Linked DNA regions of Drosophila melanogaster. The protein of the gene in region 3 interacts with the protein of the main gene of each other region in a pairwise test. Each region holds a gene or a part of one and is shown on either strand. Other genes may lie near its edges.

Evidence for each region.
Region 1: the proteins of CG32086 (region 3) and CG7352 interact in a two-hybrid assay, tested with the Drosophila melanogaster proteins (one large-scale study listed by BioGRID).
Region 2: the proteins of CG32086 (region 3) and CG15631 interact in a two-hybrid assay, tested with the Drosophila melanogaster proteins (one large-scale study listed by BioGRID).
Region 4: the proteins of CG32086 (region 3) and Shmt interact in a two-hybrid assay, tested with the Drosophila melanogaster proteins (one large-scale study listed by BioGRID).

Annotation. Positions count from the first base shown.
Region 1 is NT_033777.3:8,346,044-8,350,047, forward strand, and holds CG7352 (uncharacterized protein), read left to right. Parts: upstream 1-1,675; 5' UTR 1,676-1,720; coding exon 1,721-2,581; intron 2,582-2,635; coding exon 2,636-3,175; 3' UTR 3,176-3,253; downstream 3,254-4,004. Other genes in the region: DppIII (dipeptidyl aminopeptidase III), read left to right, coding at 1-1,311.
Region 2 is NT_033779.5:4,731,779-4,736,300, forward strand, and holds CG15631 (uncharacterized protein), read right to left. Parts: upstream 2,681-4,522; 5' UTR 2,649-2,680; coding exon 2,528-2,648; intron 2,477-2,527; coding exon 729-2,476; 3' UTR 635-728; downstream 1-634. Other genes in the region: fipi (factor of interpulse interval), read right to left, coding at 3,769-3,989, 4,071-4,522.
Region 3 is NT_037436.4:11,581,588-11,585,782, forward strand, and holds CG32086 (uncharacterized protein), read right to left. Parts: upstream 2,478-4,195; 5' UTR 2,447-2,477; coding exon 1,923-2,446; intron 1,858-1,922; coding exon 1,681-1,857; intron 1,630-1,680; coding exon 855-1,629; 3' UTR 814-854; downstream 1-813. Other genes in the region: CG33269 (uncharacterized protein), read right to left, coding at 263-529; rt (rotated abdomen), read right to left, coding at 2,704-3,425, 3,485-4,195.
Region 4 is NC_004354.4:5,912,301-5,918,472, reverse strand, and holds Shmt (serine hydroxymethyl transferase), read left to right. Parts: upstream 1-1,675; 5' UTR 1,676-1,922; intron 1,923-1,993; 5' UTR 1,994-2,003; coding exon 2,004-2,210; intron 2,211-3,175; exon of another isoform or gene 3,176-3,692; coding exon 3,693-3,892; exon of another isoform or gene 3,893-3,922; intron 3,923-3,986; exon of another isoform or gene 3,987-4,069; coding exon 4,070-5,276; 3' UTR 5,277-5,406; downstream 5,407-6,172. Other genes in the region: CG12236 (uncharacterized protein), read right to left, coding at 5,710-6,047.

The DNA.
Region 1 (4,004 bases), on a different chromosome or scaffold from region 3:
CACAAGAACGGATCGCGTTGGTGGATCAAGGACAAGGGACCTGTCATCGAGACCTACATTGGTTTCATTGAGACATACAGGGATCCTGCTGGAGGTCGGGCTGAATTCGAGGGCTTCGTGGCCATGGTGAACAAGGAGAGCTCGGCCAAATTCTCCGAGCTGGTGAACCGCGCCGAGAAACTAATAGAGTACCTGCCCTGGACGGAGCCTTACGAGAAGGACTCTTACCTGAAGCCAGACTTCACATCCCTGGATGTCCTCACATTTGCCGGCAGCGGAGTACCAGCGGGCATCAATATTCCCAATTACGACGAAATCCGCCAGGATGAAGGCTTCAAGAACGTCTCGCTGGGCAATGTGCTGGCCAACATCAACCGCAAGGATCCCATTCCTTTCCTCACCGAGGAGGATCAAACTCTGATGAAAGAGTACAAGGTGAAGGCTTTTGAGGTGCAAGTGGGCCTCCATGAACTCCTAGGCCATGGTAGTGGCAAGCTATTCCGCATCGACGAAAATGGTGTGTACAACTTTGACAAGGAGAACACTAAGAACCTGGTCACCGGTGAACCCATCACCAAGTGGTATCTTCCTGGAGAAACTTACGACACCAAGTTCGGAGCAATTGGTTCCTCGTACGAGGAATGCCGCGCCGAGGCGGTGGGCTTGTATCTCTCCCTGCAGCGTGACATCCTGGAGATCTTTGGCTTCAAGGACAAAGCCGAGCAGGACAACATCATCTATGTCAACTGGCTGAGTCTCATCTGGAACGGCATGGGTGTGGCTCTGGAAATGTTCAACCCGAAGTCCAAGCTGTGGCTCCAGGCGCACTCTCGCGCTCGTTTCGTGATCATGAAGGTGCTGCTGGAGGCAGGCGAAGGACTCGTTAAGGTCGAGGAAACCGAAAAGGGTAAAAACCTTTTGCTGACGGTGGATCGCAGCAAGATCGATACCGTGGGCAGGAAGGCGCTGGGCGATTTCCTGACCAAGCTGCAGGTGTACAAATCCACCGCCGACATCGAGGCAGCTTCCAAGATGTACGAACACTACTCGAAGGTCGACGAGAGCGGATCGCATCCGTGGGCCAAGTGGCGGGATATCTGCCTGGCGCACAAGAAGCCGCGTATGATTCTCGTCCAGGCCAACACGGCGATCGGCCAGGACCAAAAGGTCCAGCTGAAGACCTACGAGCCCACCCACGAGGGGTACATCCAGTCATGGGTGGAGCGCTACCCCAACACTGACATCGACGATCTTCTGGAGAGCATCGTGGAGAAGGACAAGAAGTATTTCCCGACTGCCTTCAACAACTGAGAACATTTCGCATTTAACATTTTCGCCTTCATTATCAATTCAATTTGTTAACTATGATTTTGAAAAAAAATATATAAAAATATATATAGTCATCTAATGACCAACAATTTTAAATTTTAAATTGCTTTTATAGTAAAACTTTCGTAGTGAATGGTGATTTTAAGATCGTTTTTGCCATTCACCGAAAATATTGACAAAGGACCTGAATTTAATTGCTTGTATGTACATACATATATTGCGACCAAATGTATATTGCTCATAATAGCTCCACAATTAAGAATGTAAATATAAAATCAAATACTACAATTTGTTCATTGAATGTTTTCATAGTAGCCAGTCGATAAATATTGGTTTTTTTTTTTTTATTTTGTTTCTCGTTTCCATTTCTGTTTGCATTGTTTTGACCACCATGGCAACCGGTAGAAATCGTGGTAACCACAAGGAAGGTGGCACTATCAACATCGGACAGCCGCTATTCCAGGTGCCTCATTCATTGCGCAAGGAGCACGACTTTTTCAGCTCACAGCTGTTCCGAAAATTGCAGTACGACCTGGAGGAGGTGAGCCGCAGCCAGGAGCTTTCCAAAGTGAGTCCCATAACCCGCGACTTCATCGAGGAGGCAGCGATGACGCAGGAAATGCAAGATCTTAAGCGTGCGGAGTTTGTGGAGAGGAAACGTCGCCAGCAATTGCGGCGGGATTGCGAGGAACTGCGCGACTTGGCGGAGCAGCTGCGCCTAGCCGCCATTTCCAGGGATATAGCCGAGAATTTGGAGGAGAAAAAACGTCGTCGACAGCTAGACATCAAATTGGAAGCCGCGGAAGTGTCCCAAGAGCGCTGTCTGCTGGAGGTCAGGCAACGTGAGAAGGAAGTGGCTCTTAAGGAGGAACAACGCCGCCTTAGGGAGTCCTTGGCTGAACAAATGGAGGAGAACCGCCGACGGCGCCTGCAAGAGCACGCTCAGGTGATGAATGACCGGGAGCTGAGCCTTCTGATGCAGAAGCAAATCCAGGAAGAGGATCGAGCCCAGGAGCTGGAGGCGCAGAGAAAAAAACTACAAAAGCGACAGGACATGCTGCGGTCCATCAAGGAGAACCAGGAACTCAGAGAATGGCAGCGAGCTCAATACAACCAGGAGTTGAGTGACTTAGTCCAGAAGCAAAGTGACATGGAGCGCAGGAAACTCCAGCTGGAGGCTGAACGCCAGGAGATTCAACGCAAAAAACAAGAAATCAGCATTCGTTTGGGCCAGCAAGTCCTAGAAATCGAAGTAAGTCTTGAAGCGGTTTTTCGATTCAATCAATAAAGCTAACTCTTATTGCAGAACAAAAAACGGCATCGCGACAATCTGCTGCTGGATCTGTTGGAGGCGGAGTACACGGCCAAGAGTGACGAGCGCTATCGCCAACAGATGCAGCAGGAGCAGATGTCTCGCCAGCGCACCAGACAGGAGTTGGATCGCTATCGACAGGAGGTGAAGCATCGTAAGATGGCCGAAATGCAGATGAAGCGGGCGGAGATGGCTACGCGGCAGGAGGAGGCGCCGGATACAATCAACCAGAATTCCGAAAAGCAACTGGATGAATATCGCAGACGCCGGGCCCATGGAGCCTCCTTGCTTGCTATGATTGAGGATAATCACCGGAAGCGGGCGGAGGCCACCGCTGAAAATGTTCAGTACTTTGACATGAAGGCCAAGATCGATGCCGAGCAAGAGGAACGCATCAAACAGGAGCGTTTGGCCATGTTGAGCCAGGTTCCTTCCTCCGTGCTTCGATATCTACCAAAGCATGTCCTTAAGTCTACGGATAGGGAGCATTTCTGCCTAATTGACGCTCAGGCACGGGGCGGTGGCGATTCCTAGTCAGTGGCATAGTTCCAAATTGTAATTCTAAGACGGTCAAGTTTATTTTTGGCTTCCAAAAATAAATTATTTAAAATTAAGCGCCGTTGTGTCTACGTGACGTGTATCATTTAGGCTAGCGAAGATGCCAGACCGTCGCCTGTGCTGCCAGTTCGTTGTTTTGCTCGATTGGAAACCTCGATTGAAAGGATATTCTCACAGAATGCGCATCTGCTGTTTCAATTTGGTTTAATATTATTTTGAAAGCTCGGCCTAATAACCGCTTCATAATTGCCGCGAAAGTGTTTATGCAGTCCAATCAAAAATACTATAAATGTTATCTGTAATTGAAATTTTATATCAAATTGACTACTAACTATTTCTTTGCATCTTACTAATTGCATTCAAAAAACATAACTTTCATAAAATACATGTTTAGATATACGTTTATTTTGACTGGTATACCAATATATATCTTTTTATAAAAGATAAAGCCAGTGCTGCGGAAGCTTGTCGCTGGTGCAGAAGCTCGTGTGTGTGAATAGCTTCTTTTCGAAATCAGTGGTACCGAGCAATATCGAAACCAAGACATCCCTAACACGCCCATTATCGGACTATCGATACTATCGCGAGTGCTAGCTGACGCTGGTCTGGTTTTATTTTATGTTAACGGGAGTGATCTTGCGTACAAACAATAACACGGAATCGCAGTGAAAGGGCGTTGCACAAATGACAGTGTTTTGGCAAAATGCCCGGGCTAGTTTTGACCACGTTTAGCAGTGCCTAGAACGCAGAGTGCGCGACGCTAAAACAAGAGAACCGCGACAAAACAAAACGCGGAAACGCATAA
Region 2 (4,522 bases), on a different chromosome or scaffold from region 3:
TTCAGCTGTCGTCGCTCAAATCGTTGACTTAAAGTGTTGATATTGAAAGCTGGCGGGCACATGGGGCAAGTGATTTGAACTCATGCTGTGCCGAATAATGCTCCTCTCATTTGGAAATTAAATAGCCGGGCTGATTGTTTTGAACCGCACCCAAATAACGGCCACGCTCATTGCTGCTCATTGTGATGCGAATGACGATGGCCAATGGTAAATGTCAATGATGAGCGGAGCATCCATGTCCATGTGTGTAGACAGAAAAATATTTAACGCGCGGTCGGGCAATAAAAGTCACCACGCACAATATGGCGCCCAGTCGCAATGCATATCCGCATACGCAACAGCATCCGCATCTGCATCCGAATCCGACGTTTGGCATTCAACTGATTTATGCGGCTGTCAACGCAGTGCTCCTATTCCTTGCCCCAAAAAGCCCCCCCAAAAAGGCATTCCGGCCAAAAGCGCATATGCGGGTCCTTAGTTGAGCCCCAGTTGATGTGGCTGATTGACAAACCGCGCCCGTTGAACAAATGAACCATTTGCCATGCGGTCCGTCGGTTGTGCAAATGGCAGTGCAACCTGTACGGTTAGCTTTATTGAAACTAATCAGAATTTCCTTTGATCTATGCTGGCTTTTAAAATTATAAGGTCTTTTATTACAAAATTTTAGAAATACGTTGTAAGTTGGCTTAACTATAACTTTTGCTATATATTATTAAAACTGATATCTTTCAAACTGATGGTAGTTTTGTACGGGCACTTTTCTTATATCTTATCTTCATTTCTGTCTGCATATCCATCAAAGTCGTTTGAGTGGAAACTGAGTGTAACTGACTTCCAGTTACACTCCTAGTGTCGTGCTCAGTGATTTTGGTATAGGATCGCGGAACGGAGTACAGGTATTTCAGCTGCTCCAAAGGAAGTCCGAGAACCCTGCCGATATATTCCTTGCCCACCATGCAGGAGCCACGAAGTGGAGAATCGCAACCACCGGTCTGCCGCTTTGAATGATGGTATTCAAAGACGATGCCCAAGTCGCAGTTCTTCGACTTGATGGTATTCCGCACATCAATTACACTAAATGTGAGTATGTTCTGAAAAACTCCCAACTCGATGGCCTCCTCTATGGCCGCATCAGTGACCAGGTAACAACCAAGGGAACAGTCCGAGCTCAGATCCCGCACATTTACGTGATAGACATTGTCTGCTCGCAGAAATATGGATATTACTATGTCTGTCAGGGAACGATCCCAAAGTGAGTCCAGCAGTTGCCTATAGAAGCTATCAAGTATTTTCAAACACTGCCCATGACAGAACTGACAGGTGCTCGAGGTCTTCTTGTCCAGCCTTTTGGCGCCATCCATTTTCTGAATGCACTCTTTGGCCAAATGCTGAACATTGGCATTGAGGCTATTCACCTGCGTGCGGATATCGCAGAGTTCCTGGCTGTGAAGGCCCTCCAAACGTCGATTCATCTCCTCCAATTGGTTGGATAAGTCGCATATAGCCGGGCAGTTGGAACATGGCGGTGGATTCTGCGAGCAATGGGGCTCCTCTGGTATATAGTAACAGCAAAATTGGTCTTCGCTCTTGCAGTCACAGGATTCGTGGGTATCGGAAGTGCAGATTGAATTTGGAAAAGTTTCTTCAATTTCCACTGTAGGCTGACCACGATTTGCTAAAGAATCTTTAGAGCTGTGAGACTTAATAAGGCGGTGACTCTTTGCTTGCTTCTTTGTGGATTTTCGAGAACTATTCGTGTGGTGTGCAGACTTCGACTTGGAGTGATCTGTGCTAACTATTTTGGAATTCTCAGATTGATCCTTCTTTAATTGTTTAATTCCTCCACCTGTGGGCACCACAATCAACGGTCTCATGCAAAATCGTGAAGCTGTTTGATTCCTGGACGACTCCTTCATCCGTTGAGGGGCTGGCTCTTTCGGCGTTTGAGCGGGACAAGATTTTGTAATATCCCTCTGTTGCTCTTGGCTATAGCAAACGTTGATGGAGGACAGGCTGGAATCATGGGACACCGTACATGAGGTGTCCCGGAAGTGCAGATCAAATGTGGGAATATCCTTGGCCGCGGGCTCTTCAAAGGACACACAGCTCTGACGCTGGTTCTCGTGTCCATCGCTGCGTGGGGACTTATTGGGTTCCGGTATGGAACAGCGGGTGATTTTCAGGCTTTTATCGGATGCACTTTTATTGCCCCGGCAGGAAGGTTCATCATTTGTGGCGCAATCAGTTGGCTTCGAGCAAGAAGGCTTACAGGTATCATTTTGCTGGTCGTGGCTTTGGTTGTGTTTATTTTTTTTCTCCTTTCCGGATTTATTGAATTTCGTACAGAATCCGCCAGCTGAGAGGCGGCTATGTGAGCCCTGCAATTTTAGAGTGGTCCTGGATTGAAATCTTCTATGCATGGAATTTTGCACACGGATGAGGGTTGCCATATACCGCTGATATACTCTATTGTATTCTAAATAAAAATTTTAATTTTATGTATTCATTATTAGCAAGCTTTACTCACCCGGATCTGAGCTAAACCTATATATTTTTTGTGAATTCCTCATAATTTGATCTTCTAAATTAAAGTCTGCATTTAGCGGCTGGTTCGAGTTCTGACTAAAATAATGAGCTCGTTTTTCCATCTTGCAACATTTTTATGCTTTGTACTTTTTGTATATAATTTTTGAGCCGAATATTAGAAATTAACACTAAAAGCTACGCCAACTAATAGGCATTTTTTTTACTAAAATATTTATATTCTATTTACTTACTGATTTATACATCAATAAATCGAAGCACAAACGGTTCTGGTTTGATATTCATAACTTTTATTATGGCTCACACACAATTGGCAAACGAAAGTTGGAAAATATTAAATCTTTGGCTAGGTATTATGGTTTAGATTTTACACCACTTTAGCTGAAATACATTTAATTTTATTGAATATAAATAACTTTTGTAAAATATGTGTTTGTTTTTCTCTCGTTTGCATAATATTTGTATTGTGGCAAAGTGTTTAAACTTATTTTTACATCTATATTTTATTCTGTATTTTTTAGCCCTGGAAATTTACACGTGGAATTGTTTTTATTGGCCTTTGACTATTAAAAAGAATTATGTGACATATAAAACTTTTAAATGCTGTCGTTAAGCTCCTTGATATTTATATTAATTGTTTGATGCGTTTAATGGTATTCCAAAACTTTATATATTTATGTAGTTTAGTTGAAAAGATTGTTAGTTATATCGAATGACGGAAGGCATTTGTTTGTATATACTAAACTAATGTACTTTTTTAGTTTTGGCAACTGTCTGATTATATCTTAAAGATTTGGCAACGAGATGCAAAGTTGCAGGGAAAACTTCCAATTCACGTTAAAATATATACTGGAATGTTGAGCAAAGCTTTAGTTTTGCATAATTTTGGGGAGCCAAGGCCAGCAAACCATTGATTATGTCTAACTGCTATGAGGATTTGTTTAAATACATATAAATATCCTATAAGTGATCCACTAATATCATTCAAATCGAAGCACTGAAAGCGTAATAGAAATTCTTACTAAACTTAACATTCTTTAAGGTTACATTAACGCACTGAACTTAAGAGTAAACCAAATTACTTAGACCGAGCAAATCAGACAGAAAAGTGTCGCCGTGTGGACACGCCTTATAGCTATACAAAGCACATGGGGTTTAAGGTCCTGGTTTCCGGTTCCGCTAGGTGCATCACCTGTCATCCTTCATCCGCCTGCAGATTCAGATTCATCCCAGGAACGGCCGCATCAGGACCATTAGTGTCATCACACCCAGTTCCACGCACATATTTCTGGTCTCCTTGACTCCCGAAGAGACTCGGGGCTCCAGCGAAAGTGTCTTGTACTTCTCCACCTTGGTGAAGTCACTGAATCCGGCCAGATTCCGTGATGCGGCCCGCACCAGGTAAACGGTATCTGGCTCTAAGTTCGTCAGAAGGAAGGTAGCCCCTAAAATTTATAGAATCCATGAGTTTACATATCGAATGTAGCAAGAGATAGCTTTTATCTATATTTTAAAGCTTAACTCACCCTCCTCGAAAGCATAATCCTTCCGCCTGGCATTGGTCCACTTGCCCGCATCCGTCTTGAACTCCATTTCGGTCATGTACTCGATGCGGAATCCATTGACCCCCATGGGACTGTCGGGAGGACCTCGTGGAGCACTCAGTACCACATCGAAGGTGTTTGAATTGAAGCCACGCAGCTGGAAGTTGGCCGGTGACGGAGGCTTCTCGCCCTGCTCCAGTCGCGTGGTCCTCTCGATGGTGCCCAGATCGTTCCTGGCGCGACACCTGTAGTTATCGAAGGCGCTGGTGTTCAGCACATGGATGGTCAGACTCGACCAGTAGCTGTCCGACTGGATCGTGTACAGTCTGTTGTTGCTGTGCAGCTTGTTGTGTTTGCGATACCATGTAAAATTCGCTGGAGGTTCCGCCAGTGCCTCGCACATAAGAGTCGCAGTTCCGTTTATGTAGGCGTAC
Region 3 (4,195 bases):
CGATGAAACTATTTCTTTAGAAAATTGGCGACCGATAGACTAAATCGGCTATATATTCTGATAAGGCATATGTGTACAATACAATAGGATCGAAAACTTTTTAAGTGTTACCTACTTTTAAACACACATTGCATACCCATTTACTATGCGTTATGAGTTAAGGGTACAAATACTACTTAAAATAATTTTATAGATAAAATGAAAATATTAGGCAAAATTCTTTTAAAAAGAATTTCTTTATTTCAAAAACTACTAGTGCAGCTTAATTTTTCCTGTGGGTCACAATCACGATGGTCTTGTGGCACCTCTTTGGGTTCTTGCACTTCCGCTTGGGAATGCGGGTGTGGCACCAGTTGTTGCCCCTCCAACAAAGCTTTTTGTGAGTGGAAGCGGCCGTTGTTGTTGTTGTGGTCGATGCTGCAGTGGTGGTTGTTGTTGTGGTGGTGGCATCAGTTGTTGTTGTATTACTAGAAGATGAAGCCACCTGGATGGCCAGGGCAATAAGGGCAACCACGAACAGGTATTTCATCTTTGATGTTATTGTTGGTTATGTTGGTTAGCTGGCAAAGCAATTGATATTAGACTTGGCTTAAAAGCGGCGAAGGGCTGTTGTGATCAACTGATGTTGAAGTCACCCCATTTATAGTTCTCCAGTAATTTCCGGATTTAGAAAACTAGTATTAATTTGATTTCCTAACTGATCACAGAAATTTAAATATTTGGTCGTAAGACACCAGCTTTGAAAGTTTAATGCTGTAGCAAATATTTGCTTCACACAAATGACAGCCCAAACTTATGCTATAGTTTATTTTTGTTTATTATATATTTGTTTGTCATGGTAAATTGTCTAAGTATTATGTAGATATGGCCTCTATTTTGTTGTGCATTTCAGTACGAAACTGCGTGACGGATGCCATTTCATTTTGGTCCTTGAACTTAGTCATTAGACTCTGCCAAATAGCTTCGAATTTATCAGTTGTTACGAGACTTCTAAAGATACGTTCGATTTCCGCTTTGGGCCGCAAACAGGTGAAATCACTGTGAGTAAGGCCACGTAAAATGGCCAAATCCGGTGTTATAAGATCCTTGGCAGTTGTTTTATTCCCTTCGAGATTCTGGCTAATTGCTCCCGTATTATCCTTTGACTTGTTTTGAAGATCGGCGCAGAGCAAACGATATGTGGTGTCCAGACAACTAACATCGGATACATTGGTCAAGTTTCCCGTTTTCGGCAGAGAATTCTGAATCGAGAGAAGTCGAAAGAAATCTACATAATTCACCCGCTCCGTGGCACAGCCCTCGTCCACAATCAGCCGAAAATTGGACAAGGCCAGACGGATTTTTTGCGCATCCAGACGGATGTGAAAACTTCTGAAAATTTCCAAGATGCGTGCCAGTGGCAAGTGACCCGTTCCATCCGTGTCACTCCTCTCCAGCACTGAATTTAGTGCGTACTTGTGAAATTCCAGCTGGTTCCTCAAACTATGACGTTTTTTGTTCAAATAGCGTATGGCATCTAGTAGCCGGTTGGTTTTGTAGCAGGGTTCAATATTATTTAGCAGCATCTTCACATCGCCATTGCTGCGCAGAGGAACACCGAAAGTTATGTCGGGCACCGCAAAAGTGTACCTACAGACAGTCTAAAACTATTAATCAAAATCTATATCTATCTATACTTACTTTTTGTTTCGCATTCCGAGGGGTGCCTCGTTTCGATCCATAAAGTCCACTTGCGCCTTGCCAATAACCTTCAGGTGGTTCTCACCTTCCTCCAGACATCGCTTCACTTTCAGTCCAAAATCGCCGTGAGTATGTATATCTCCACAAGGTGATTTTCGATCAAATGGTTGGGCATATCTAAAAAATATTTAAGACGTTCATTAAATATGCACCATTGCATTTGTAGTGACCAATAGCTTGACCTGCGGTTAACCTGCTCCGAAGGAAAGTAGTGATTGTGGCTGATGATGTACTTGTCGTGGAAAGCCTCGTACTCCTTATTAACTTGCTCCGCCGACTTGGCCGGCAATATGACGTCGTAGAGACATTCATTTTGTGATTGACTCGATGGACTTCCGAAGGTTTGGCTTATATTGGTCACGTCTTCCGGTTTGGAGTACGTTTTCTTGACCCCACCCAAAGTGGCCTTTTTGAAGTACATTTCCTCGTAGAACTTCTCCTTGAAGGACATAAAGCGCGACTTTTGCAACTCGCTGGTGAGCAAATCCCGGATGCTGCTGCTGGGTTGAACGGAACCGGCTGGGAACTTCTGGGATTTTTTATTGATCTGCCCGTAATTGCGCCTAACTAGACTCTCAGCCAATTCTTCTGGATTGCTAATACTAAGACAAACTTTTACACCTTCCGCTCCATCTAATCCACTGGTGGACAATCCTGCAGTCGGTATATTTGCATTTCTGTCTATAAAGTGTCCCTTATTGGCCATGTTTATGAGTGTATTTATGTATATAGTGTGGGTTCAAGTGTTTTCAGAGTGCTTATACATATTACTGAGTGATAAAGCAGAACATCTTAAATAAATAAATAATTGTATTTATTGGTCTTGTAAATGAGTATGTTTACATGTCAAATAATTTATGGCTTAGTATTAGTTCAACTTTAGCTAGTCGTCTAGTCTATTGTACATGGTACTAGTACATCATTGCACGTCTCTCTCTGGCCGCGGAGATGGCATCTGTTTTTTCAGTACAGGTGGTGGTTCTTGTGCAGGACAAAGTCCCAGGTATCCTTCCATCGAAGACTGCGAACCTCATTTAAAGTCATTTTTCTCGCACCATAACTGAATGGTATAAACTTTGAGAAAATGCTAAGCACGCCCACCAGCCACAGGATTAGCATGAGGCGATAAAGGCGCACCAGATGGACACCACGTCCGGTGCAGAAGCGCCTGAGCAGATAGTCCAAATGCTCCACGACAAAGCACAATAAAAGTAACTTAAACACAAAGGCTGGCAAGTAATTGTGCAGGAAGAGTGTACGATCCACACAAAAATACGGAATATAGTGCATCACGTAGCCCATAAAAAAGGTGTCACCAGCTAATACGAATCGCTGCCACTCTTGCTCCGAAATATCAAAGCAAAGACGTTGCCGCCGCATCGCGTAGAAGGCGAGTAATCCGGCATAGACAAGTATTCCCATGGTGGCTGTGTACCAGAGTAGTATGTTTCCCAGCAAATAGATCTGCGCACTCGACTGTGAGTCCAACCAATAAGCGATGCCCTTGTCCATTAGCGGCCACTCGTGCGGCATCGAGCTGTACATGTGATTTGGCACTGACTTCGTTTGGAACAGCATCTTGGATTGTAGCTCCAGTAGCTTGGCCCAGAACGAGATGCGCGTCCGCTTTGTGGGTATCATCTCGGCAGTTAGCATCTGGCGCTCTCGCTCCCGATGATCCTCAGCTATAAAGGGTTGTAAATGAGGATAACGTATTTCTTCAAGTATCTCGAAGAGGACTTACTCTGTGTATAGCGGTGCTCCTCAACATTCCAAATGGCATCCTCATGTATTGCCTTTTCACGATCCGCCACCACCTCGTGCTGATTGAAACCCCATTCGGGAAGTTGGCGCCCACTGAACTTCAAGGAGGCTTCTGTGGACACGTGAACGAGGCGGACCTCCGACTTGATGGCATGCCAAATGTCACCTTCGGAATCGCGATTCAGAATCTCCACGCGCCACAACAGTTCACCGGCCATTTTGATCTCGTAATCTATGTAGCAGCTGACTTCTTGGCACTGCGGCGTCATTGCCGCAGCCACATCGTGTGAGTTCAGAGCTCGGCTCGTAATTCCATGGACCAACTGAATAATTTCACCGTGCCGAATGATATCCGGCTCATCACCCACCACCAGGTTCTCCTTTGTTGGTCGCTTAACCAGCCACCAGTTGTTCACATCCTTGAAGGAGTAGCAGGTGACCTGCTGCTGGTGGGAGGAGCCTCTCTTGTCCGGATACCGCACCGGATAGACAGCTGCATGCGAGTGCAGCCAACAGGTGCGTCCGTGGGTGTGTCGTAGTGTGATTTGGGATCCATGAACCACTGCCAATGGCTGTCCTTTTGTGATCGATGCCAATCCTCCATCTAACGAGGCCTGAAACGCGCTAGTCATGATGCTATCATGCGGTCCAGCCCGGTGCAGCGTCTTGAAGTGGATATAGAAGACTCCCA
Region 4 (6,172 bases), on a different chromosome or scaffold from region 3:
ATAGTGCAACAAAAAACTAAAAACAAATAAGCCGAAATCGACAACAAAAAATAAGGCTAAACAGGTGAAGAAGAAAACTAAAAGCCACAGAAATAACAAAAACCGATAAACCAAAATTTAAAACCAGCACAAAAAATAGCCCCAAAACTTAAGATATACAATTGTGTTCGAAATCGTAGTAAAGCTATTTGAAGCGCCACAAAAATTTACATTTTTTGTAAACATTTTTAAGCATCGACTATTATTTTGGGTACAACTGTAGCAGATAAACAACAGCCCGCAAAAAACCCTAATTATCAAGCTTAGACAAAAACTACAAAAAAAGCGAAAAAATCACACAAAAAATGTAAATTACTGGCCTATGAATTTAATTAATTTTTTGCAACTCTGTAGGTTTTTTCCCCTCTTTTTTCATTTTTATCTTGGCGATTAGTTGGCAGCAACAATTACAATAAGCGAAGAAAAAGCGCCAATCGTTTCCTGAGCGAAAAACAATTGTTTACAATAATTGCATGCGATTATTATTTATGTCAATTTCGAATATTCAGCTGGCAAAGTCAACAAACCCGGAAACCTTCGGCGAGAACAACGGAATTTTTATCGTAATATTTTGTTCGCCTTTTTGCATTCAACAAAAAAGAGCACGCACAAAACAAAACATGCAAAAAAAAAAAGAAGCACAAAATATATGATTGAAAAACAAAAACGATAAAAAACAAGGGGAGAGCGGCGAACAAAAACAGAAAATCGCACAAATAACACACAACTTTTGTTTGGCTAAAAATAAAACGACGTTCGTTTTGCGTGTCTTTTTAGCACATGAAATAAATAATTTGTTTTCTCACCTTTTCTTTATGACTTTTCGCGCTATCTTTTCTTTTGGCGTTTTTTTCCCCCCTCGAATTTCTTTTACTTTTCCTTTATGCTTTTTGTTTTGTTATTCGAATCGAATTGCACACGCAGCAGAATTGTGTCGAAAAAAATTCATTCATTCATTTAATTTCTGGCTTGCCATTTTTGTTTCATTTCTATATTTTGTTTTTTAACATAAAAAAAAATAATGCGAAACAGCGAATTCAAAACGCGCGCTTTTTCTTTTGCCTTGCGAGCGGATAACGGTAAATGCGCACAGCAATGTTTTAACATTAAACACTAACCACTAAATTGTCAGGAAATTCACCAAAAATAAATGTTCTGTTTTGGAATTGTTAAGAATGTTAGGCTCATGTGTTTGTTAATATTTTCCAGGAATTTTCTTTTAGCGGCGCAGCGAAGTGAAACGTACCGCGGAGGAGACGGATTTTTGAGTGAAAAGAATTGAACTTTCGTTGTTGCTTATATAGACTTTGGCTGGCAGCAATGTTGCTGGAGAGAGATGTTGCACTCTCCCAATCGGTTGGCAACTTAAACCGGTTCGCAGTACCAGCAATTTGGCGGGTACTTTAAATGCCTTAACGTTATCGCGCGTTTGATAACTACGTACATTTTAAGGGATTGAGAGAAACGCATATTATGATATAAAATAAAGTGTTAATATTAATTGAAGAGGCACACACGCTTAACATTTCCACAAATTGTAAATATTTATACAAGAATTGGTAGCTATCGCTAGCGTTGCCAGACGGCGCCAAAAGCTTCTAAATCCAGCGATCCAACTACCCAAACAGCTGATATCTGTTAGCCTGGTAAATGTTGTTTACCAACGTAACGCGTGTTTTCGCTTCGTTGTATTTTCGGTGTCGAATATTTTGGATGCTGGCCAAGAGATAGCGCAGCGATCGGGTCGGAACTCTTGGGCGGACTTATCACTGGGTCGGTCAGGGGTCACGGGTTATCGTTATCGCTTATCAGCCAGCGGCGGCGTCATCTCAGCGCCGGCGACTCTTCTCACTTTGCGGCAGTTCCGATTCGAACGCAGCCGTGTGAGTACTAATAATTACCAAGGATTGTTGAAAAACATCCACTAAAATCTATAAAATTCTGCTTATTACAGTTACAAAGACATGCAGCGGGCGCGCTCTACACTGACACAAAAGCTTCGGTTTTGCCTTAGTCGGGACCTGAACACCAAAGTTGGCAACCCGGTTAACTTCGAGACTGGAAAGCTTAGCGGAGCTTTAACTCGCATCGCCGCCAAAAAACAACCATCACCAACGCCATTCTTACCGGCGATCAGACGATATTCGGACTCCAAGCAGAGCACTTTGAAGGTGAGTTCGCCGGGAAAGTCCCAGGCAAAGTGAAGGGGAGGGTGGAAAAAGTGTGGCTAATTGAACCATTTGGGGGACTCGCATTTCGATTGCCTTTAATTCTTGCAGTGATCGCGGTGCTCAGAAAGTTTGTGTTTCGCTTCCATTTGCGGCTCCTGGCATGCCCGGCTAATCGCCATGTGCTTCATGCGTTTCATTCAGCCATGTGTTCCCACACTGCACTATCCCTACGTGGATGGCATGCCATCGATCCGCTGAAAGTGTTGTTTATAGTAGTATCATTGTTAAGTACCTATGTACATGTGTAGTTTAATTGAGATCTTATAGCATATGTACATATATGTACCGTATTTGTATCAGTGTACTGTTAGTGTATTCAAAACGTCGCCATGCGCCAAGTTTGAATCTTTTTGATTCACATTCGCTACCTCGGCCTGAAACTCGTTTTTGGGCCTACTCGAATTTCTCGGCTGTTTGCGCCCTATCGAGCATTGTTGTTGTCATTCTCGTTTGCACTTGTCTAAATATTTAAACTGATAACGCAAAAAAAAAAAAGAATCTGGCATTGGCCATTAAATCGAATTTCCCATTCGTGTGGGCAGATTTGTATATAAATATACATACATACATATGTATATGCATTTTGCACTCAACTTGTGGCCAGAAATTAGCATTCAATTTAGTGGGAATCACCAGTTTCCAGTTTTTGCAGCTAAAATTTTGCGTGTCCAATTCATTTCTGCGTTGAAAATAGAAGAATCTTCCAGGGATTATTAGTTAGCAGCTGGAAACGTTGAACAACAAAATGGTACTAGAGATACGTAATTTGCTGGAGGAAGCTACATACATATAAACTTGTCCATTTTCTGCCAATATTCTCCATTTCGACTATATACGTACGTTTCCCGATCTTTCCGAAGTGCGTCAGCTGCAAAGGGGGGGCAGTGTCCTTATCGTCGTCCGGCGACTTGAACTGGTGACCCAGACGGATGATAATCACTTGACGATAAGCGGATCGCAAATAGACGCGCTCTCCCATCCATGGGGGGTCGCATTTTCGATCATGGGCGTGTTATTGCACCCAAGTCACTTGGTTTCCCTGGTATTTGGCCAATCTAATCGTGGATCGGGAATAGGGAATCGGGGGAGCGCCTCTCGAGTGGTTGCCATGGTGCATCCAGGCGTAATCTTCGCCTTGGCGATAGCTGCGCCTTATCGCCGGAACTTTTCCAATGCTATTTGAACCCATTGAACCCGTATTTGTTTGTAACTTTTCGCAACCATCGGCGGCGGGAACATAAATATTATTTTTGTTTCGAAGCGTTATTAAAAACATGGCATAAAGCTGACCAGGCAGCCGTTCATTTTCCACGGTCCGCACATATTCAACGATCGTCTTGGCGAGCGCATCGCACATTGCACAGCATTCCAATTACTATATATATATATATATAATATACAATACTATATAAATCCGAACAGAATATGGCCGATCAGAAACTGCTGCAAACCCCGCTGGCACAGGGCGATCCGGAGCTGGCCGAGCTGATCAAGAAGGAGAAGGAGCGCCAGCGCGAAGGACTCGAGATGATCGCCAGTGAGAACTTCACCTCGGTGGCGGTTCTCGAGAGCCTGAGCTCCTGCCTGACCAACAAGTACTCCGAGGGATATCCCGGCAAGAGGTGGGTGCACATATAAGATTCCTCACGGATCTGCAAGAAGACATCATAGTCGGATCTTTAAATGATTCTATACTAGTTCTGATATCATACTTACTGGTAGAGATCACCTTATTGGCTCTATGGCATGTGAATCCCTGGTGATCCTGCTCTAATCCTGGTCATCGCTTTGACTTGCAGGTACTACGGTGGCAACGAGTACATCGACCGCATAGAGCTGCTCGCCCAGCAACGCGGACGCGAGCTGTTCAACCTGGACGATGAGAAGTGGGGCGTTAATGTGCAGCCTTATTCCGGATCCCCGGCCAATCTGGCTGTCTACACGGGCGTCTGCCGGCCCCACGATCGCATCATGGGCCTGGATCTGCCCGATGGCGGTCACTTGACGCACGGTTTCTTCACGCCCACCAAGAAGATATCGGCCACATCGATCTTCTTCGAGAGCATGCCGTACAAAGTGAACCCGGAGACGGGCATCATCGATTACGATAAGTTGGCGGAGGCGGCGAAGAATTTCCGGCCGCAGATCATCATTGCTGGCATATCGTGCTACTCCCGTCTGCTGGACTATGCGCGTTTCCGACAGATTTGCGATGATGTGGGCGCCTACCTGATGGCCGACATGGCCCATGTGGCGGGCATTGTGGCCGCGGGATTGATACCATCGCCGTTCGAATGGGCCGACATTGTGACCACCACCACGCACAAGACACTGCGAGGTCCGCGCGCCGGCGTGATCTTCTTCCGCAAGGGCGTGCGCAGCACCAAGGCCAATGGAGACAAGGTACTCTACGATCTGGAGGAGCGCATCAACCAGGCGGTGTTTCCATCACTCCAGGGTGGTCCGCACAACAACGCCGTGGCTGGCATTGCCACCGCCTTCAAGCAGGCCAAGAGTCCCGAATTCAAGGCCTACCAGACGCAGGTGCTCAAGAATGCCAAGGCCCTGTGCGATGGCCTCATTTCGCGAGGCTATCAGGTGGCCACCGGCGGCACCGACGTCCATTTGGTGCTGGTCGATGTGCGTAAGGCTGGCCTGACCGGCGCCAAGGCCGAGTACATCCTCGAGGAGGTGGGCATCGCGTGCAACAAGAACACTGTGCCCGGCGACAAGTCCGCCATGAATCCCTCCGGCATCCGGCTGGGCACACCGGCCCTGACCACTCGCGGCCTTGCCGAGCAGGACATCGAGCAGGTGGTGGCCTTCATCGATGCTGCCCTAAAGGTTGGCGTCCAGGCAGCCAAGCTGGCCGGCAGTCCCAAGATAACCGATTACCACAAGACGCTGGCCGAGAATGTGGAGCTCAAGGCCCAGGTGGACGAGATCCGCAAGAATGTGGCCCAGTTCAGCAGGAAATTCCCGCTGCCCGGCCTGGAGACCCTGTAGGTGCTGCCTGCTTTGTTTGTCCCTTTTTCTTTTGTTCGCCTTACGATTTACATCCTCGAAAAGTCCGCTTGTTAATATCATAAGTGGGAATTAGTAGTTAAGCCATTAAACGCATTTCAGTTTACATACCATAGCTATGGAGTTTTATTTTTGGAATGGAGTATCTAGTATTTACACGAAACAATGCTTTGTTATTCGAGATGAGTGGTTTGTTTCAGATGATGCAAGGGAATTCAATAAATGTATTTAAGTATCTTTGCAACAATTGCTAATCAATGGGCATAAGTATCCTTGGTAACTATGGTGTTAGTTTCCAAATGCCCTGCTTGCCTGCAATTCAACTCCTCTAAATGATAGCCAGCCATGAAGGCAGCAGTGGTCATGTGCAGATAGTTGGGCGTACTAAATGATACATTAATGGCATACCGCTGTCTCAGTGATCGCTGTACTCGATCTTGGTGAATCCCTTGGTCGAACAGCCCATTTCGCGATGAAAACGCGAGTTGTGTGTGGAGAGGGACCACTTTGTCTTGAAGCTCTTCATGCAGATGAAGCACTCGTGCTCCTTGCCCTGAATCTCCGAATGCCTGGAGGCGATGTGTCGCCGCAGCGCGTTCACCGACTTGAGCGGCCTGCCGCAGAAGCTGCAGTTCAGCGGTGCGAGGCCGGTATACTGGACGCTCTCCTCATCGCTGCCAGCCGGTGGCGCGGATGCAGTTGCTCCACTCTTGGACGACCTGGCAACCGTCACGGATCCTGGCTTCAAAGCGGCTGCAAGAGAGAGAGAGAGAGAGAGTTGGTTTTTAATGAGATCGTTGGACACAAGAAGGTTTTTTTGCCGCGCCCATTGAGAATAAAGTTCATTTGCGTTTAAATGGTTTACATGATTTTATTTT